Linked DNA regions of Coturnix japonica. The protein of the gene in region 5 purifies or fractionates together with the protein of the main gene of each other region. This does not show direct contact. Links are inferred from orthologs where the notes say so. Each region holds a gene or a part of one and is shown on either strand. Other genes may lie near its edges.

Region 1 (4,411 bases), on a different chromosome or scaffold from region 5:
TGCAAACTCACAAAAAGGAATACACAGTTTTTGGTAACCTCTGCCCCCAAACCCACCAAATCAGTAGTTTTAAATGCTAGAAGAGCTTTCTGACATGGCTCTGATACTTAATAAAACTAAAAACTGAGGTCATGATGTCCTACCGTCAACCCTCCTCCGTGAGCAAACACGTATAAAAGCACATCCCTTGTCATAAATGAGACTGTGCAGCTGAAGAGGAGGCTCAGACGTAAGGACTCAAGTCAGGTCTTTTGCCTGCAATTAAAAAGAATCATTAGCAGTATTCTCAGCTTCCTAAAATACCTATTTCTAACAAAAGAGTCTGTCATACTTGAGTATCCAAGTATAGAGTGGATGTGATAAACTCAGTGCCTTCGGGACAAAGTTCTTGGCAGTCCGTGTAATTAAGCCAGCTGCTTTTCAATACAGTTTAAGACTAAATACTACACAAACATTAATCATCAGGGACTGCTGTAATCAGCTCAACAACAGGCGGGAATGGCGATTTCCACTGCAGCAATTGATTACAGAGGGGCTGGTACAGCCACGTCTATATGGATGGAGTCTACCTGTGAACAAATATCATCACTGTGGGATGTGGAGAAAAAGGACTGTTTTCTCCAGTAGTGTTTAGTACTGATTATGCTTTCCTAATCTTAACACCTTGGATTAAACATGGAAGTGGGCACTAGATGCACCAACTGTATCCAACCCTGGTTTGGTTCTCAAACAATGGCACCATGGCTGAGCTCCCCTGTGGGAATACAAGAAAAGCTGTTCAGAGCAGCAGCTGTGGAGCAAGATAAACAGCATGAGAACCAAGGACACCTCTGCAAGGAGAAGAAGAGTCTCACAGCTCTGATTGGATACGTGCCTGCATGGACAGTTGAAAAGTGTTTTGAAGAATGCTTTGTTGACATGTAAAGGTGGTTGGGAAAGTTGTAAGGGCGGACGGGAAAGTTAGAAAATAACAACTTGTAAAGGTATATAAGGGATGTGAGAACTTGTAATAAACGATTTGGATCATTCACATCTGAGTCTGTGCCTCAAACGCTGCACTCCCCATCTCCCAGCCTCACATGAGGTAGAAGACACATTTCTGACCGTGCTCCAAACAACTGGATATATATCTAATGCACTTGGCCAGAAAAGTGAAGAAAATTACAATTACAACTTGATTTTTTCATGCTTTTGGTGTGGCTCAAGCTTTCTTTGGCCTGAAGCTGGCTCAGTTTCACCTCAAGCATAATTGCACTGCGAGAGACCCCAAGCAACATGAAGGGCTATTTCTGAAGTTTCTGCTGCCATCCACCCAGAGAAGGCTGCATTTTAGGAGGCAAACAGCATGATTTTGGCAGGGAAATGCGTTCAGTGTACATCATAATCCCTCCTCCCCAACCTGATTTTCCTTTGTATAGAGCAGGTTGGGGGACAAAATAGGAAAGCCAAGTTCTTTGCCTTTCCACAGGGACTGTGCAGAGCTCACTTCCAGCCAGGTCAATGCACACCAGATCCATGGGACTGGCTTTTCCTTCGTGTTTCAGGCACCCATGGGATGCCAAGGCCAGAAGATCTCTCCACATCCTCTTAATGAGCTCACTGAGCTTCATGGGAGCCTTTACAGTGACTTCAGTGGGCTCTGGACCAGACCCAATGTTTTGTCTCCCCTGAGAAGTGGTGATGAAAGGGGCTATAGAAAGATGAAGCACTGCACTCTGCTCTTCATTTCATTATCTCACCATGCAAGCGTTCAAGTCCACAATGAGAAGCACAGGCCCTGGTCTTCACAAAGCATCTGGCTGTGCTAAATCTTCCCCTTTGGGACTTCTCTCATCTCTCTCCTAGATGATGATTATTATTTTTACCATAAGCATGAGGATATTTGCTCCATTATTCTTGTAAAAGCCCAACACTGCAATGTCTTAAAAGGGTCATCAGAGCTTTTCCCTTAAGATCGTCCCATTTCATGGCAGGGCAGAGGAAAACACAAACGTGTGTTGGAAACTGAGGACTTATTTTATGAGGCAGATCCTAGCCTCTAAGGGTCTGGCATCCTGTACCCATGTGAGATGCATCTGACCCTTTCCAAACTCAGGCCAAGATTAAACAACTGTGTTAACACTTAAGCATCAATACTTAATACAAACGATTGCTTTTCTTGGTGGTGGTTGTGGGAAGTAGAGCTCCTGGTGCTGGGAGGGGTCCATCTTGAAGAAAGAATAACTCAAGCTGTTTAGCAAATGTTATTACCTAATCCTTCTAACGTGCCTTTTGTTTAGCTCTCGATATGCAGTCAGTCTGTTTATCTGTGTCAGCGCTTGCTGTCTGGCAATCAGGCAGCTCCATGGCAATCATTAGTTCTTCCTGTTTTCATGAGATCATGAGTAATTATCTTTGCAATAAGCTGCCTCTTCCTTCTCTACTCTCCATGTGCGGCAGCTGCTTGGGGAACAATCCCAAAGCCTCCATGTGTCAAAGATGCAGGCAGTGGAACAGCAGCTTCCCATCCATTATCAGAACCTGGGGTCGTGACCATCACAAAGTCCCATCTGTATCAAAGAGGTATCACCAAAGATGAGGAACAATATTTAGACCAATCCTTTGCTTCCAGCATGAACCAGCTCTATGCTACAATACATTTAACACTGAAATACCCTGTCCTGCTTCTTCTGGCCAGCTCCTTTCCAAGCCTAGGGCTTCACCACTGACAAACATTTCAGTTATTCCACTCCTTTCACCCCAGATAAAGCCCACAGAAGCCCCTCACCCAAGTCCAACTTCTGAGGTACAACATCTGCCTTCTCCTGGTCCCTACATCTCCTCTTGCCTCCCACTTATCACTCAACCTCACATCAACCCAGGTACACAGGCGCCCCACAGCCCTTCTGAATGCCTCATACAGATAGCCAAGGGTAGGACTCATCCTCTCTGGGCTTATTTTTGTGCCACAAAAGGTAGGTTTTGGTTCCTAGGGCCAGATTCACAGGCAATTGGCTTCAGAGAGGCTGAAATTCTGCCATCCAAAGCCAGCATCTCCAACCCAATGACTCTGAGAGTCAACCATAAAAGACACTCCATCACACCTGGGTGTTCCTGCATGCATGCAAGTGTCTGAGTACGTGCTGGTGTATGTATGTACGGTGGGGTAAGTCCTGGACTGCAAAGCCAGCTCAACAAGGCAGTCTGGAAGCTCTTCGAGCTCATCATGGTTACAAATCACTACCAGAAACACAGAGGCTGTCCCACAGTGAGAAAAACTATCAGAAGTTTTGAACACATCACTATTTACAATAGATGGGATGATGAAAATAAAGTCAAAGAGGAATGGTCTTTGCTCAGGTTTGGGATTGAGTGGATGCTGAGAAGAAGGCAACCATAAGGAGAAGAGAATTGGTGGTGGGAAATGATGTCCTAGAAGAGATGCTGCCAAACCTAAGTGGCACAGTTTATGGGCATGGTATGGAAGAAGGCAGGGAAGGATGGTATTAGCATATACAAGGTGGCTTTAATAACTGTAAGCAACAAATGTGTAAGGTGGAACCTGGTATTGCTACATCAAAGTTCCTGGATGGTGCATTCAGCAGCTAAAGCACAAACCCAGCCAACAAATACAGTTGACCTTTATCACTGGCAAACAGTATCTGCCAAGTCTTCCTCTGCAATTAAGTTCCTTTTGTCTTAAAAGAAAATGATAATAAAGAACCCTTCCCCTCCACACAGACAGCAGTTTTAGAGAAATCCAGTCCAAATGGAGCTGGAAGTCTGGTAGGGCCCCAAGCTGGGAGAACCCCTGGGACATTTGCCTGTTAGGTGTCTGCCCTGCCGCTATTGCTTGGTGCTCTTGGTGGCTTCTGAGGACTGCCGCACATCAGTCCACTCCTGCATGGTGCTCTGCAGCGCCTGTGTCTTCTCCTTGTCCACTTGCACATAGTCAACCTTCTCATCTGAGGCAGCTGATGAGGTGGAGGGCTGTGGGGAGGAGAAAGACAGCCACCAGCTGGTTATCCATCAGCAGCCATCGACTCCCATCCTCCCTTACAGTTCATCACCCTCCCTCTGACCTCCTGAACGGTATCGGGTGAAAGATTTTGGTCTCTTCTGCAGCTTTCTTGCATGAGACCACAGTGTGATGGGAGGGTTAAACCAGCACCCAGGTCTCTGCCTTCTCACCAGCTCTGGAGCACGAGTCGCATCTTGCTCATTTTCTTGTAAGATCTCAAGAATTCTTACAGACACACGGAAAAATCTTATCATTGCTTTTAATCAGAAGTTTATCAAATCCCCAGTACCTTTCTGTGTGGCCCTGGTGAGCTTGGCTGGAAGTCCAGGGCAAGATAATCCACACTACCCGAACTCTTTTTAGGCGCTGGGCTGTTGGTGCCACTAGGAACAGGAGAAGCAGAAATGGGGT
Region 2 (4,411 bases), on a different chromosome or scaffold from region 5:
TGCTGGAATGCTGTCGTGGAGGAGAGTTGGGATTCATTGGGACATAATTCTCATCTAGTTCTTCACTTGAAACACTTCCCACTGTCAACATGCTTCTGTTTTTCTAGAATTAACATATATTTCCTTTAACAAAATAAGTTACGCAATCAGCTGAGAATCATATGAATCTTTTAACCTAAGCTACTCAGATTAAAACATCATTTTGAAACTGAACATCACAAACACCATACAGCTTGCTTTTTTATACAGAAACAAAGAGCATTTAAGCTATCACTGTTGTCTGTCATAAGATCACATCATACTTACAAAGTGGTTATGGAAGCCCTCCAATGAATTAGATCTGTCATTCGGAAACGTTCGTGGAATATCATAACAGTCTTGAGAACTAATTTCTAAAGAAATAAGAAAGTGGCTATTAATCATTCCTGCTCACCCGTCCCCTGGCACCAGTCATTGTTATTTACTGTCTGCTTCTACGACACCATGCAAACACACCTCCCAAAGTTGTGACCAACAGTTTTTATCTATAGACTTGAGATGACTGTGTTCATAAACGAACTCAGCACTTGCCAATCAACTTGAAAATCTTATAGTGATGTTTTCCATGGCAGGGAAAAAAAAACCAAAAAAAACACAAATTATTCCTTTTAAAGAACCAGATAAATCTTCCTTTCAAAACAGACAGGTATAAAACTTTACTGCAAGACCAATACATTTTGAGATATACGGCCCTCATGAGAAACCTACTATGAAATAAATGAACAACAGATATAATTTAAGGTCTAGAGAGAGGTCTTCCGACTGAACATGCTTGCTTGGAAAGTGCTGATTCAACAGAAATTAATTGATTACATTGACAGGTAAATTCTTATACCCCACAACTCTTCTCTCAACTCCCCTGTTAGGTTTCCAGGGGTTTTCACTTTGAATAAGTGACAGAACCTAAATATCTCATGCTTCTCAGGATCCTGGCTCCCAGCACTCCACATTAAGAAGGTCCACCTTCGTGACTGCCTCTCTGGAGGATGTTTGTGAAATACTGTGCTCCCAGGTCCTGGGTCCCACTCACCTGCTGCAGGCAACAGCTTGCATTACTGCTCAGCAAGCCTGCTTCTACTGACACTAAGACAGAAACTTGGGGGGAAACTGTTTCATTCCCTTCTTGACCTAGAAAAAGAGCTCCAAAGGCTTCCCCCACCACCATCATCTTTGTCATTTTTGCCTGCTGACCCACAGGCACTGCAACTGTCCCCACAGACATCAGCAGCAGCCAGTATAGAATCCCACTTTAAAAGTCATGCCTTCATACCCACCTGCCTCAGGAACCTGAAAGAAATGAAACTCTTAGCCCAAACGTTTTTAGTAAGACAACAGCAACTGCTCTCTGTAACAACAAATGTCACTTTTCAAACTCAGCCTTTCACTGCATTTCTTTACTTTAAATCTGAGAGAATAAGAACATGTACAAATAAACGGGCAGAAATACAAGAAACACTAAAGTCTTTCTAAAGTAAAAGTAGCTCCACTGGATTTGCTAGTACCCAGAAATGTATCCAGCTGCTAAAGGAAAAACAACAGAAATGCATTAGCAAGTCCGCAGTGCTGACATTTAAAAGGCTACAAGGAACAACTTCAATTTTACTTTAAAAACTTTGCATGCACGTCTAACACAAAACTTCTGTAGTATCAATAACCAGTTCAGGGTTGACCTAAAAGTTCCTGGTGCATACCAAACTCCACTGAACTTCCAGCTTATGCAGATTTGGATCACTATGTGCGAACCTTACCTTGGTTGTTCTGACAGACTGACAGCAGCGGTTTTGAACTCAGCTATATGATGTTATTAGCAAAAAACAATGTTTATTTTTCCTCTGCTGTTTTGTAAGACTAGTAACACCACGGAAACGTCTAGCACTTCAAAAACATTCAGCTAAAGCTGAATACCACAGTGGAGTAGCCTCTATCAATGTTCTGACATTCTGATGTCTTTCCTTTATTAAACATCTCTTTCTCTGGTTTCTTCCATATTTTAGACTTCAGTGAGTGCTTTGTGAAGTGCCACACACTTGCTTCTCAAGGATACAAGCAACACTCAATATTCAACCCACACGTACCACTTCTTTCTTCATAAGACTAATATCATTCAGTATTAAAAGAATCTGGAAGAGAAAAGTAAAATATGGAGCACTGACCTTTACGAAAGATATTCAAATCTACAGTTGAAATGGTATTACTGCGTGAGGGCGGTATTCCTGCAGTAGGGATACAATAGCTACTATCAGTATCTGAAGCTGTTCGAGTAATGCTACATGTTTCCACAGGAGATCGATCTGCAGCGTGGTGAGGTTTTGGTGGCCGAGGTGGAGGAATATCTGGAATAGTCTCCAATTTTGAAGTCTGAGACAATGTTCCTTCTGGAAAAGTTCTTGGAATCTGATAAGTACCTCCAGGTGTAGGGGGAATGTCATAACTAATGGAGATGTGCCTCATCTGTGCATCTAATGACGATGTTGCTGATGGCGTATTGAAAACATGTTGCTCGCCTTCTGCATCAGTCCCTGTTGGAGATGCTGCCTTCGGTAAAACATCTTGTGAGTAACTCCTAGGCAGGTTATAAAGGCTGGAGTCTGCCAATGGTAGTCCAGTACGAGAAGGCGGAGAGTCATAGACACCTTGCTGCTGAAAAAAGCCATTCACAGCTTGCTTGCTCATGGATGGAGCGGGGTTTTTGTGGGAGGGCACATTATCATTGCAGTCTGTTTCAGAAGAGCTGGATTTTGCAGAGTCAGCATGAGATCTACACACAAGATCAAGAGATTAAAACATCAATGAACACAAAGAAAACAAGCATCAAGAATAATTAAAAAAATGTTTAAAATGTGAACAGCTGAAAGGTTTATCAGTCTCTTCCAACTTTTAAAAAATGAAACGCAGGAACCCAATTACAAAACAAACAGTACTGCAGAAGGATTCTAAGTGATTACACATATACAGACCCATGCATGTGAAACATAACAGCACAAGTGCGCAGCTTTAGCAGCAGCTCAGCAAGTTGGTATTTCATAAAGCAAGTGATTTCCAGGAAGATGTCAAGCCAACCTAAAGCAAAGTCTATTTGGGTAGTTGAAGGTTGGGTTTCTTTAATTTTTTATTCTTTTAATCAGTTCTGCAAACTAGCAGCGTTTCAACAACACTTAAAAGTGAAAATGCATTCAACCCTTGAGATTAGAATACTTGCTAGTTCTAACCAGTATGAAAAAATATGATAAAATATGACTGGTTGCAACACCCTTAAGTGCATGCCTGAAGTTACCTACTAACCAAATAAAACTGATTCAAGTAGTTGTTTTTTGTTTTTTTTGTTTGTTTTTTGTTTGTTTTAAATCATATTATAAAAAAGAGAAAAAGAGAGAAATCCATATGACATACGCAACAACAGAGTGCTTCTTTTCTGTGAACACAAGGTCACATCATTACGCAAAACTGCACAGTTACTTGCCTTTATTTTTTTTTGGAACGGCCACTTTTTATGAGAACAGCTCTCATTATTACTGGTACAAATGAATAAAGAAAGTAAACAACTACCTTCTGGTTTGGGGTATTGTTTACTGTTGTTTTTATTGGGGGGGGTAGGAGGATATAGGGGAGAACACCTCCCCAGTTACCTTGCTCCAGGAAGAGAGATTCTAAGTCTGAATCCTTGTTTAAGTGCAAGTTAAGACAACTGCAGAAATACTAATGTAGGTGGAGGTGATGCAGTTTTTCCACCATATCCTGGTGTTTCCTTTTATCGTTACCACAGCATCATATCATTGTTTTTGTTTATACATACCTACATATTGCAGCATGTGTATAATAATGAATAGCTGGTATACTACTCATACTAAGCAACTGGGCAATATAGCTTACAAAGCTGCTGAAGAAAAGATTCAAATCAGCACTATCTTTCCTTTAAAAGATTCTTGTTCTAAAAATGATCAATTTGTCTATAAAATCAAACATTTCCTTACTTAAGCAATAGCCAGATTTTTACCTCCAGGTTCTCCTTCCAGGTTCTAGCAACCTGGGGAGAAAGGAATCCAGTTTAGCTATTCATTTAGGTTTCCTCTTCATTCATTGTGGAGATATTGATACAGTGTGAAAAAAAAGCCATTCTTCTCAGATATCCACCTAAAAAACCATAAATCACTCCCTAAGAGCGTCTCTGTGCCAACTCTCAAGGGAACTGATGTTTTTAGTTTAGACTGGACATCAGCAGTCAAGACAAATTTTCTTCACCTAACACGTTTTCGTTGTGTTTAACAGAGTTGATACTATCATCCATCAGCCTGACTGGCTTCCAAGAGGTCTTCTCTGGCTTTAAGTTATGACTTACTTTTTTATATATACTTTTTTTGTTGTTGTTATTTTA
Region 3 (4,411 bases), on a different chromosome or scaffold from region 5:
TAGTAGACATTTATCTCTTAAGTAGTAGAAAGCGATTTCATAATGTAGTAAAATTGCCATGGTCACTGAGATAATGTGTTTACCCTTTAGTTCTTCTCTTTTATTTAAGGATCGTGTTCAGAAGAGCTTTCCCCATCCTATTGATAAATGGGCAATAGCTGATGCCCAGTCTGCCATTGAGAAACGAAAACGAAGAAATCCGTTATCTCTCCCAGTAGAAAAAATCCATCCTTTATTGAAGGTAAGTAGCGATGTCATCCTGATTTTGGAATGCAATTGGAAATTGACAGCTTTGTTTTGTGTGATTTCTGTTTGGTGCCTGAAATGTAAACCAAAAAAGCCCAACGACGTGTGTTTCTTTCAACGTAATTTAATTTTCAATGTTTCCAGTTCAGTTAATTGCATATATTTCTTTTATTTACACATCTAAGGATATTTTTGGAAATTTCTTGATTGTTTTTTGAGTCATGCGAAATAATAACCAAATTTGTAGCAAATGAGCACATGGCTTTCTTTATCCACTAGAGAGTGCAAGCAAGAAACCTTTCAAGCAAGGCTTCTGGGACAGTTCACTGTGGTCACTAATGTAGCTGATAGAGCAGCATCTACAGTGTTGCTGTTTATTTACTTGACCCACAGACTGTTGCATTACTGTTGCTAAAATAGACTGTATGTTGCCAATGTCAAGTAGAGTCTTAAACTTGCACCATAGGTTACAGTTACAAATCGTATATTTTGACACCTGAATAACATAGGATGTTTCGTGTTGGTTTTTTTTTTCCTTTCAGGAGGTTCTAGGTTACAAAATCGACCACCAAGTGTCTGTTTACATAGTGGCAGTATTAGAATACATTTCTGCAGACATACTGAAATTGGTTGGGAATTATGTACGAAATATAAGGCATTATGAAATTACAAAACAAGATATTAAAGTGGCAATGTGTGCTGATAAGGTAAGCTTAACTCTTGTTTTTCATGTTAAAAGAGCATTGAAGTTGAATTTTAAGAGGACTTGTCTATCTATTCCTTATTGAGTAAGCAGTGTTGTATGAAGAAATTGCTGCAGTAAAATATTGTTCCAGTAATGCAACAAAACTATCTGAAAGCTAATTGAGTTGCAGAGCTGTTACTCGTGCTTATTTACAGTTAAGTGTCTCTTTCTTTTGATATTGCTTGCCTAATCCCAGCAATGTGTGAATGCTTTAAAAGTTGTGAAGCAGCAAAGACTTCAACATTTCACATTCATTGGCATTAATAGTAGCTCCTGCTTTTCTTCTTTGTATCTTAGAAAAAAGAAGGCTGAATTGAAGCATGGGTACTTTCCCAAAATAAGACCGTATTGCAGTGTTTCTGTGCTCAAGTTAAAAACAGACAAACGTAGGCATCTCTGTTTCTCTGTAGGCATCCATACTTTTATTGCCAGGTCTTCTTTCCTCTGGTTTCAGAAGAGTCATTAGATTCAGACAGTAGTTACCTCTTTACCCAGTGATCCAGCAGTGCTGGAGAACAGGCTGTTGCGTTTCAGGTGCCTTCGCACTCTGGTTTCTATGGCCACCTCATCAGCATCTTGAGTTTTCCGTTTAAAAAACCAAAGCCTGAAGTTAGTCCTTTAACAGATGGGTCTCGAGAGATGCTCATATTGCTGCAGTCCAGTGGATGCTTTCAGTATCTTTGGTTGGACTTGCCTCTTCTTCAAGGAATGCTTTTGTCTTGTTCACGCTTGAGTTTTTTTTCCATCTTGCTTCCATCTTCATCTCAAGAGGAAAGAAAGGTGTTGTGTGAGGCTGAATTATTAGTGAGGTTGTGTGAGTGAATTATTAGTCAGGACAGTTGTCTTGGTCGTTTGGTCTTTTGGATGCACCCTCCTGGGCTGTTACAGCGGTGTTTGGAGCTGTGTGCTTGAATATAGAATAGGAACAGTGCTGTTGCTGCATGTGTCTCTGTATCCTGGGCAGGGATGGCTGATGGGTTAAAGAGGCTAATTGGGAAAGTGCATTAGGCACTAGTACACTGGAGTAAGTGTAGAAGAAGCTTTTGGGAGCTCTGAAGTGGGCATGTTGATTTACTGGCTCAGTGGAATAAGCCATTGGCAGGTATTTCCACGCTGTTTTCTTTTCCAGCCGCATCAAGGACCTTTAGGTTCCTGCTGTCAGTGTGCGCATTCTGCTTTTCTTTTTTTAACAAAACAACCAAAAGTTTGTCATCTTCTGTCTCCTTTCCAAATGCTTTCACACTTCTGTTGGTGCCACCTGGCTATCTGAAAAATTCTACTTTGTTTAAAAAAAGAAAGAAACAACAACAAAAAAACCACAGAGCAAACAAAACCGCACACAAAAAACCATCACCTGCATTAGAATGCAAGCTATTTTTATTTGACTGTCTGCTCGTGCTTCTGAATTCTCTAAGTGATTCCAGTTCAGAAGAACTGAGGAGCTGGTATTCATCACAGGTAACGGGGTTCTGAGTTCAAGTCACAAATGGCTTTCTGTTAAAGCCAAAGGTGAAGAGCCGAAACGCACGTGCTTCTCCATAATATTGCATCTTTAGAATCTTAGGTTGTGTAGGCTTATTCAGTGTTACAGAACATTACTAAATGCTGACACCTCCGTGCTTCATAGAACTCTTAGAGCAGTGATTGATTTTTAGGACCACGTTCTGAAACGTGCCAAGACTGGCCTGAGTGATGGGGTTCTTCAGAAATTTGCACTGCAAATATTGACTTGCAGATTCATAACAGTGCGTGTTGCTTTCATAATGCTCAACCAATTGCAGAACGATAAGTACAAACACTGCTGCTGGTTAGTTTGATTTAATGGAAATAATTTTATTTTCTGAAAACTTACTGGTAGATCTTGAAGTTCTGTCACTTTATGGCTTTCTCCCTCTTTGCTGGCTAGGTGTTAATGGATATGTTCCATCAAGATGTAGAAGATTTAAGTGCACTAACTTTATCTGACGAGGAGCCCTCCACTTCAGGGGAGCAAACCTATTACGACCTAGTGAAGTCATTTATGGCAGAAGTCCGGCAATATATAAGGGAACTTAATCTCATTATCAGAGTCTTTAGAGAGCCATATGCCTCCAACTCCAAACTATTTTCATCTCATGTAAGTGTTGTGTTTAAATAAGTATATGTGTATATAACATAATCTGTAAATGCTCATCTAGATTTATACAACTTAACTATTGTCCAGTTTAACACATCCATAGCAGAGAAACACTTCCCTTGAGTTCTGAAATGTGAATTGTAAATGTTTGTGAGGAAACATCTTTCTGTAGAAGAAACCATTCAATTTTATGTGTTCACTTGCAGGAAGGACGAGTTAAAGGTTGGTCAATGCTCTCTGCCACATTAAATTCATTGTAAATGCTTTTATTTTTATATGTACATATACAAAGTCATTGTTTTAAAAATAAATGCTATGATTTTATATTTCAAAAGTTATATACACAATATTGTTTATAAATTCTTGTTCTGGTTAAGGAAATGTTTAATTCTCATATTGTAACAGAGTTGTTTTGTACATAACATTGTATCTCAAATTATGTCCAGTTCCTCATTGATTTTTGCCTGTTTCTGTTTCTTTGCAGGATGTTGAAAATATCTTTAGTCGTATATCAGACATTCATGAACTTAGTGTAAAGTTATTGGGTCATATAGAAGACACTGTTGAAATGACAGATGAAGGTAGTCCTCATCCGTTAGTAGGCAGCTGTTTTGAAGATATGGCTGAGGTAAGAAAATACTGATTTTTCTGTTGCTGTTGTTAATCACGTGGACTTTAAGGATTTGCACGCAGGTGCTAAGCGCATGTCTGCCAAGGTGCCTTTATTTAGATTTTTGATTTCTTTTTCTAACCCTCCCCCAGTCGAGAGTAAACTATTTTTCTAGAGCATTCACCTTTATAGTCTTAGTCTTCAATCTTTGTAGGCTGTTTAATCTTCAGTAGAGGCAGGGGGAACAAACAACAACAACCCAGTGACTAGATTTCAACAGCAGAGTGAAGCAAGGGCTTCTTTGCCAGCAGGTGTCCTGAGCTGGTGAGGAGGGCTATTACACTAGGCTTGCTACGGGAAAGAAACTGAAGCTTGAAGATGGGGGACATTACAGAGGAAGGTCTTCAAAAGGAATGTTGTGTCTGAGCTTCTCCTGCAAAAATTTACCAAAGTCTTCTTTAAGCAAGGGGTTATTACCACAGACCCTGTAGCTTCTAGGAGAATAACCATGCTGACATCCACAAGTTACTGTGGTTGAAGTAGCTCAGAAGGTTTCTACAGGTCATGAGAACTGATATGGATTTGACAAGTGTGGAGTGTTTGAATGAGGAACTGGCTGTGAGATTATACCCAGAGAGTGGTGATCAGTGGATCAATGTCCAAATGGAAATCAGTGACAAGTTGCGTGTCTCAG
Region 4 (4,411 bases), on a different chromosome or scaffold from region 5:
GTCTGCCAGCAGTCAAAGCAACATCTGGAGATTCATCACTCACTCCAGAAGGATGGAGAGAACTTTTCATGCGTGTCTGTGACCAACAAATGTATCTGCTGCTCACAGACACAAACACGTGCCCTCTCAGTTAGGCTGCATAACTGGCAGTGCTTCCTGACACTATTGGCTTCCCAGCATGTTATGCAAAGGAAATTATATGGGATCAATTTTACTTATTAGCAGCCTGAACTACAGTGTCATCATTTCAGCATCATCTCCACGTCTGTGCCTGCTGAGGTCAGAAACAGCTGCTTCCTCTTCCAAAGCAATAATCACAGAGAGAATAAAGTAGCACCGTGGATGTGCAAAGGACGGACACTGCAACCCATTTCAACACGTCCAAGAGCACACCGCAACTGATTCTGACTGGGCCAATGTATGTACTTACATTCATGGTATGACCTTGGGCACAAAAATAATCTGCACAGAGCCCACCAACCACACAACAAAATGCTCAGCTTTCAAGAAGCTGTCTTGGAAAAGCCCACACATGGGGAAGGATGAGAGTGCACAAGCACAGCACATACAGATGGCCATCTGAGCTAACACTATGAAGATGGTCCTGTCTGGGACCTCAATTAGCACAAGCACAAAAGCACTAGATTCCCTGAATCCTGCCTTTTTCTCCTCTCCACTAACCCCAGAATGAGAACTAGTGTTTGAAAATCAAGCCAAGATCTTCAGTATACAGTACAGAGGTAATCAGCACTCAGCTGAGCCAGATGCACATTATGCTGTTCCTTATCAGCAAGTAAAGAGATTCCTGCAGCAGTAATTAGAGATAATTAAAGCCTCTGTATAAACTTCTACTACTTCAGCAAACTGAAAATTCCAAAATGAGATGGATTTTTAAGAAGTTATGTAATCAAAACAAGGATTTTTTTCCCCCCTGTTATATATAGCAGGCAAGGCATTAAAACCTGCAATCAAAACAGCAAACAGCACAAGTGAACAAGCAACTCGTTTGTGCTCAGTTCTGAAAATAAAGGGGGAAATAAACACCGAAATGTGGAAGTGGATCTTATGTGATCTGCCAAAGAAACAGAAAAGGCTCTCCACAGCACAGAAGGGTCCAGCTTCTCAGTTCTGCTTCCAGACCTGAAGGCTGGCTTGGCCCTTCTAAAATAAACCTTCTTTTTAGGAGATGAGTACAAAGCACTTCCATATACTGAGTCTTGGTGGCCAGACATTAACATCTACCCGGACGGCCTCACATCTGCTCTCATCATGTTCCAAGCTGACTAGACATAAGCCAGCTCTAACTGGAAGGCCAAAATAACTTGCAATCTAGCAGCAAGAGGAGCCTGATACAGCTCAGTGGGGTTAATAGCTCAGGCTTAGCATTGCATGGCTGTGCCTGCACTGCTTCCAGCCTAGGCTGGCTCAGCAGACATCCACGGCCTTCCATCCATTTAGCCATCCATCGTCCATCCGTCCGTCCATCCATCCATCCATCCATCCATCCATCCATCCATCCATCCATCCATCCATCCATCCATCCATCCACACTGCTTTGGTTAGGAAGCAACTGGTATCAGATGCTTAAGCCTTCTTTGAAGTGAAAGGACAGTGGGTGTCCCAAGTTTCATGCAACTGTAACCCAGATCTAGTGATAACACAGGACTGTGTAGATTCATTAGGTGATAACAGGGTGAACCCTCTTGCAGTTTATCAGGCTTGACTATTCATCTGTCAAGAGTGCAGAGTTTCATATACTGCAAATGGCTGCTGAATTGCCACACTAACAGCAGCTGAGATTTAATGCTGAACTCTTCTCCATCCCGCTGTGCAAACTTAATACCCGCTTTACTTTTCAAATTCAGAGCTTAAAGTTAAAGGGCATATTATGCAAAATAATCCTGGAAAATCTGTCCACTTTAGGTGATGGAAATGTTTTCTTCCAAAGACATTTGTTTTAAAGGATTGATAAGTCACACTAGGGTTTAAGCAACATTACAGAGATATTCAGAGCACGCAAAAAACACATAAAGATTCCTGAAAGCATGATAGTCAAAGCTGGGGATATTCACTGGATTTTCACATTCAAATCCAGATACTAAAACCAAATGGAGTTTGAGTACAGTCAAAGATGCCATTTCCTGACACACTCATCCAGTTGAAGAACCTGCTGCAGCTCTTAAAAGTCTAAATTTCCTACTGGATTTGAACTCAACACTGCTCTGCCAGTTCAGCCCTGTTGTTAAAGATGCTCAACGTATCACTGACAAACACTTTGACATTCATGCTAAAAGATGGAGCTGGAATCTTTGATTCTCTGTGGGTACTGGAAGGAAGCACTTCCATTAAATTTCGTCTAGACAGAAAACATGCAAACTCAGTACTGTAATCTGCATAGGAGAATTAGAGAATGGGAATTACCTGCTGAAAATTTAATACAATGCTCAATTAAGATTTATTGCTTTGGGCAATCCATCCAAATGCCAGGGTGAACATATAGAACTGCACATTAATAGCTAAACCATTAGTGCTGGTCTTTAACCAGTACACCAAGCAGGACCATTTCACTTCCAGAGCAGTCAATTTAAGAGGTAAGGCTGCTGAAAAAGCAGGATCCTACCAGCACTTAAAAGCTTCTTTCAGCTAGATCTCTTCTAGAATACAGACACCGTATGCTTTCTATGACTTGTCTCACATACCTTAACTCCATCCAGAACAGCTTTTATGACATCTTTAACAGTTGTCACCATCTCTTTGTCTTCGGAATTCACACCTTCCAGCATCACTTGATCAGACCAGCGAATGAGATTGGCCAGGCTCTGGTACACACGGCTGTAGCAGGATGAGATGGCAGAACTGGATGGCAGGGAAGGAAACAGTCAAGAAAAAAAGAGAGAAAAAAAAAAATAATCAATTACAGAGATATTATCACATAGTACCAGAGAGAGCACGATCTAAAGTGCATTTCACACTGCTAAAATTATTTCGACACTACCCACTGTTGTGGTTCTCCTTTTCATTCTGGCATTCATGATTTACGTTCAGCAGGTGACAAAGCCTGGGCTTTCAGCAGTTGCTCTCCTGTTCTTTAGAGCCAAATGGAACAACAGTATGAAAGTACAACCAGCTAATAATCTGAGCTGCAAGCTAACACAGCCATGCTAAGAAGAATGCTCTTTGCCTTTTAATCCACACCCCCATCCTATGCTTCAGCTTCAAAGGCAACTGCTGAATCCTGCATTTACGTCTAATTGATATTATTCCAATGTTATCTATGCTTTCCTTCTTAACTGCCCTCAGAAAACGTTTTACGTTACTGCAAGCTGACTGCATCACTCCTTTACAAATCATTTCCCCCACTGTTTATGATGCCTGAAAACAAGCAATTCAAACCTGCTTCTTTACAAACTTTGAGCTGAATGAATTTCAGGTTTGGAAGAGGAAGGGTGTTGTTTTGTTTTGCTTTTAATGAGAACCAGAACCCAAAGCTATTGTTCTGAAGGAAGAGAAATGAAATTTGGAAGGATGACAACCCTAAATAAAAGTTAACTGTAACAACAGTGCTCAGAGGCACTTTCCTGGCCGCGCTGAAAACATTTCATTACTAAACAAGGTGTGTTAATAGTAATGCTGATGGCAACTCTTTGTAAAATTAAATCACTTTCAAACTGCATCAAAACCCCATAAGGAGATAAGAGAGGGCGCAATCTTGCCATCATCACAGATAGGAGCATTCTGAAGCTTCCCATTCCTCTCTGGCACCCATTTGACACTGGCTTAAATCCATTAATTTCATTATCTGTGAGAAGAGCACCAAACCCACAAACCCAAGTGAGATGATTCAGGTGTTTGCAGAACCAGGGGTAGAACTATTGTCAGCCTATAGCCAGAGGGATACAGACAGCAGCAAGGGCTTCTTAGTTTGTTTGTTTTATAAGCACAGTGTTTGCCATTTGTTCTAATTTTAAACAAAATTAACTTAGTGGGAGATATTTCCTAAATAGGGCCCTCCTCCATCTCTTTCTCTGGCTTTGATTTCTTTGTGATTAATCTTTGTTCTGCTTCCTTCTAAGGAGGCAGTAATTGAAAGCCTATTTTGTGCTAGATTTAATTACTTTTTTCCTCGATGCAAACCCTTCCCCTAAAGCAAAAAGAAGCCCAACAGTAATTGTAGGGCTTTCTTCCACACTGACACAAGTCTTGCTCTCTTTTCTTGAGGGGGATTTACCATCAAAAGCAGCCCTTTGTGTCCTGCCACTACTCAAAATAAATAAAGTGCATATGTAGTCATGAAAGGACGTGGCTTTTAGGGAATGACAAATCCCCTTTTTCTCTGTGCAGCCAAACAAGGCAGAACATACACAAGGGATCTGTGCTGCAGTCCAGAATGAGAGATTCATCACTAAGGAGG
Region 5 (3,912 bases):
AGCAGTTTATTGAAAGATAATACACTTACTGTTTTATTTTTGCTCAACTTAAGTAATATTCCCAAGCCCATCCACGCTGTAGAAACCAGTCAAATTGAAGGATATTTCTCTAAGCCTTCTGCACAAACTTTGGATGAAACTCTACAGCATGTGAACAGAATAAAATCAGACTCAGAACGCCAGTCTGTGTGTTTCTTTTGCCCTGTGTACTACTGATTTTTTCCCATTAATAAGATTAAAATGCTTCCAAGTGACTTGTTTCTATGGAGTGGAGCATATGCAGTTTCCTGTTGGATTTTGACTGTCGTAGTGAAGCTTTCTGAATTCGAGTCTAAAACCTGGAACTCAAGTTTGTCCTTAAAAGTTACTTAAATCTAGCAGAGTAACACCGAGTTATTTATAGATGTTATCAGCCTTTTCCTAAAGAGGCTTTTGTTAGGTTCCTGTTTAAGTCATCGTGTTACTATATAAAGCTTTCTCTAGACTTTCCATTTAATGAGAAGTCAGACAAATTGTGCTTTTTCTCAAACACACCATCAAGACAAGCTGCAGCACTCCAAGAAGAGATGGAAACCAGCCACACTGATGCTACAGGAGCATGTAACTATCAGGCAGTGTATCACTACTTAGAGGATACACAGACTTTATCTTTTAGTTTACATACGTGAAGATGACAGTTGAAGAAAGTCCCACAATTATCACAAGAACGTATAGGAGTTCAGAGAGGATTTTCCTCTCTGGAAAGTACAACATTGTTCCACATGTGCCATCTGGAACATCTAGATGGGAAGTGGAAAAAACCTCTAAGTAGCGGTAAAAGCAGGGCAAGAGAGTGGGGTGAACATAATTATTATCTAACTCCATTCTAATATGCTTACATTTCTGAGAAATCTTCAGAGCTACACATTGCTGAGCGAGTGCCAGAGTTGAGTGTAACATCTTAAGTCTCACTTAAGGGTTAGGAATGCTTCTGAGCAATCTTCAAATAACGCTTTATTGCAGTAATGGTAACTACTTGCAGTAGGCTTTAGGAATATGTTTTGTAAAATCAGCCTTTTACTTTGAGTAAAGATGCACCCATCTAACTGAGAAGTTAGAATTCAAAATCCTTTGCCGAGGTCCTGAAACTACCTGTGTTAGTTCTACATGTCAGTGTTACTGAGATAATGCATATGAATTGTTATTATTGACATACTGTGTCTAACATGTTTTTCCCTCAAGAAGATCACAGCTTGTTGCCTCTGGAGCTTATAGAAGTTGGCTGCTGATGTGAAACCCGGCTGTGTAGTGCTTGAACCTCCTTTGGGGTAGAACCTTCTCAAGTGCTTACTGTTAGCTGTAGCATGGTTCTACCTTTTGTGCCCTCAGCTATTAGCTGCTGTTGTCACTTTTCTATACTTTACTATAGTTACCACATAGATGCAATTCAGTAAACAGGAAGGGAGATGCAATTAAGAAGGCTGCTGCAACAGGCCGCATGCTCAGCTCTTCTGAAACAGTTTAGGGGGAAATAACTATATAGTCTTCAGCACTGCCTGCTGTAGCACATTTTGCTTTATGAATTATCCTAATACAAATTAAACACAGCACCGAACAGAATAATTTACCACTTGAGCTGATGGCTTTTTCTTTTTTTGCTCGATCATAGCTTAGCTCTGCTCATCTTTGGCCAAATAGGAAGAGACGCAGTTGTGATAGGAAAGGCTCAACAAGTCACTGTTCCTGTTTCAAACTCTCTGATGGGAAGTGAAGGTGAAAGCAGCAAACCAAGCTAGAATTTGTGCATCTTAGACTTGGGAACACCTGTTACGGAATGCTTTTATCTGCTTTGGAAGCACAGCAGAATTGCAGAGAACTCCACCAGTTTCTTAGACCTTTACAGCCAGAACTGGAACTCTGAGTCTGTTTACTACAGGAATCTCTTTGAAAAAGATAATTTCCCTTTGAAATAAACCTGGTAATGCTGAAAACAAGTACTGTGCTCTTTTGAATGCTTGTTGCATCTCATTACTTGTGGTAGCTTTAGTGATGTCAGTCTGTCTAAGCTAAATATATTGCAGCATGAAGAAGCTTTTTTACAGGAAAAGGTGTGGTTCAGCAACTCATTGCAACATGTAAATATACATTCAGTTCAGCTGTCCCAAAAAGTGTACAGATTTCCAGCACCAAAGTGTTTGTATCAGTTAAAAACAACTGCTTTCCCTTTAAAGCTAAAGGTATTTTAAGTTACGAAGTCGTATTTTTTGTTCTTGTTTACTTGATTTGTATCAAAGCTGAGATTCTCATGTGTGCTAACAGGTGTTTTTTTTAATGCTGCAGGTTGGAGATATTGTGAAGGTTACAAGGATGAATATAAACGGTCAGTGGGAAGGAGAGGTCAACGGGCGAAAAGGGCTCTTCCCATTCACACATGTCAAAATCTTTGACCCTCAAAACCCAGATGAGAACGAATGATTCCCTTGATCTGATTTACACTGCTGCTTCCCTTTCCTGGCTCTCATTAGTGTTGTTTGAGGTGGGATGATGGCTAAATGGCACATTGCTAGCATTGCCCATTTTTCCAGCTTGCTGCAGTTTGACAGTTCTTTTAATACACATTTGGAATACATACAAACTGAAGTCACTGCCTGACCTTCATACCATAGATACAGCAACCAGAATTTGGTTTCACTTTTAAAACTGTATTGGGCCTTAAGCTGGAGAAGACTGAAGCAAATAGCAGACAAGCATGGGAAGAAAATCCTTCTTCTTGAAACTTCCATGGACTTGTTCTGGCCTGCTCAGTAGGAAGAGCCCTATCATAGAGCAAACATGCAACTCGTCTGTTACTGTCCAACAAAAAGCAACAACAAAAATGCAATTTTAGGACTGAAGAAAACTTAGTTTTAAGAAAACCTGCCCTAAGGTAGTACACTTACAATGATGGTCTCTTAAAAGGACATTAACTGAAGCTTACGTATTCTAAGCAGTTGCATTAGAAGCTGCTCATTCTGGTTAACTCTTAAGCTTGTTGACCTTCCTGGAAGTGTGTGTTAAATACAAATAACCATTGGTTGAGCTGCATTGAAGCTGAAGCATTTATTTATAAGGAAGCTTAGGAGGGGTTCACACTTGTAACCCATTTCTGACATAAAGTATTTCTGTTGATTTTGCAAGCACTAACTGTAATAAGTGAGCGTTAAAGGGAAACACTTTGACCTGGTCTACACAGAGCCCTTCTGCAGTGTTGGAAGTAGAGCTTTACTAATGTAGTAATGCTTGTCACCCAGCTGTTATTTGGTAGGCAGATGGATCAGATTGTTACAGCATGAAGAAGTACAAAAGGAACAGGACAGAAGACATTGGTAAATACTGATAAATTCTTACTATTTAAACATAAACCTTTTATACCTGTTTCTCTATAGTCTCCCTTATTGCTCTCAAGTTTCCTGGCTATACCTGCCCCAACTTGCTGAAGGCTTTGAACACAGTACCTTTTTCTCCAGGGTATCTCCACGTTGCCGTGCTCCTCTTCCAGAAGTTCTTTCTTCTTTCATTTTCTTCCCCTCACATCACAAGTCATTCACATGCTGCAACCTTTCACCTTCCAAAGGAGTTGGCTCTGGCTTATATACATATGCCCCAGACCCCTCCTACTCTCAGCTTCCTCTAGAAAGTGGTTAATTGGAGTCAGCTGCCAAAGGTTTTACACCTGATAATTAAAGTTCATGCTGGAGGAGGCCACACAGGTGTCTCTTATCAATACAGCTTTCTCTCCCCTTTTCTGTACAAAAGCTGTACTGTTGTAATTGCACCTTTGGTAAGGAACTATATGGCTGTAGCTATGTGAGTCTTATCAATGCCACGCTGGTCAAGTTCTTAACCTGTTTACGGGATATGAAAGTTTAGGGACAGTAGTATCTTCTACCTTCT

The links. Proteins that work in one complex are often made in the same cells at the same time.
Region 1: the proteins of CRKL (region 5) and GAB2 purify together in Homo sapiens (affinity purification with western blotting; 3 studies listed by BioGRID). This does not show direct contact. The link is inferred for Coturnix japonica from reciprocal best matches to the Homo sapiens genes CRKL and GAB2.
Region 2: the proteins of CRKL (region 5) and GAB1 purify together in Homo sapiens (affinity purification with western blotting; 3 studies listed by BioGRID and IntAct, with this or other methods). This does not show direct contact. The link is inferred for Coturnix japonica from reciprocal best matches to the Homo sapiens genes CRKL and GAB1.
Region 3: the proteins of CRKL (region 5) and SOS1 purify together in Homo sapiens (affinity purification with mass spectrometry; 3 studies listed by BioGRID and IntAct, with this or other methods). This does not show direct contact. The link is inferred for Coturnix japonica from reciprocal best matches to the Homo sapiens genes CRKL and SOS1.
Region 4: the proteins of CRKL (region 5) and RAPGEF1 purify together in Homo sapiens (affinity purification with western blotting; 16 studies listed by BioGRID and IntAct, with this or other methods). This does not show direct contact. The link is inferred for Coturnix japonica from reciprocal best matches to the Homo sapiens genes CRKL and RAPGEF1.

Annotation. Positions count from the first base shown.
Region 1 is NC_029516.1:172,541,406-172,545,816, reverse strand, and holds the end of GAB2 (GRB2-associated-binding protein 2), read right to left. Parts: coding exon 4,290-4,411; intron 3,970-4,289; coding exon 3,826-3,969; 3' UTR 940-3,825; downstream 1-939. UniProt on the Homo sapiens protein: Adapter protein which acts downstream of several membrane receptors including cytokine, antigen, hormone, cell matrix and growth factor receptors to regulate multiple signaling pathways.
Region 2 is NC_029519.1:26,842,541-26,846,951, reverse strand, and holds part of GAB1 (GRB2-associated-binding protein 1), read right to left. Parts: intron 2,798-4,411; coding exon 2,193-2,797; intron 393-2,192; coding exon 307-392; intron 104-306; coding exon 1-103. UniProt on the Homo sapiens protein: Adapter protein that plays a role in intracellular signaling cascades triggered by activated receptor-type kinases. Plays a role in FGFR1 signaling. Probably involved in signaling by the epidermal growth factor receptor (EGFR) and the insulin receptor (INSR).
Region 3 is NC_029518.1:14,489,255-14,493,665, reverse strand, and holds part of SOS1 (son of sevenless homolog 1), read left to right. Parts: intron 1-109; coding exon 110-241; intron 242-788; coding exon 789-953; intron 954-2,897; coding exon 2,898-3,107; intron 3,108-3,591; coding exon 3,592-3,735; intron 3,736-4,411.
Region 4 is NC_029532.1:4,845,468-4,849,878, forward strand, and holds part of RAPGEF1 (rap guanine nucleotide exchange factor 1), read right to left. Parts: intron 2,857-4,411; coding exon 2,700-2,856; intron 1-2,699. UniProt on the Homo sapiens protein: Guanine nucleotide-releasing protein that binds to SH3 domain of CRK and GRB2/ASH. Transduces signals from CRK to activate RAS. Involved in cell branching and adhesion mediated by BCAR1-CRK-RAPGEF1 signaling and activation of RAP1.
Region 5 is NC_029530.1:7,291,592-7,295,503, reverse strand, and holds part of CRKL (crk-like protein), read left to right. Parts: intron 1-2,319; coding exon 2,320-2,454; 3' UTR 2,455-3,912. UniProt on the Homo sapiens protein: May mediate the transduction of intracellular signals.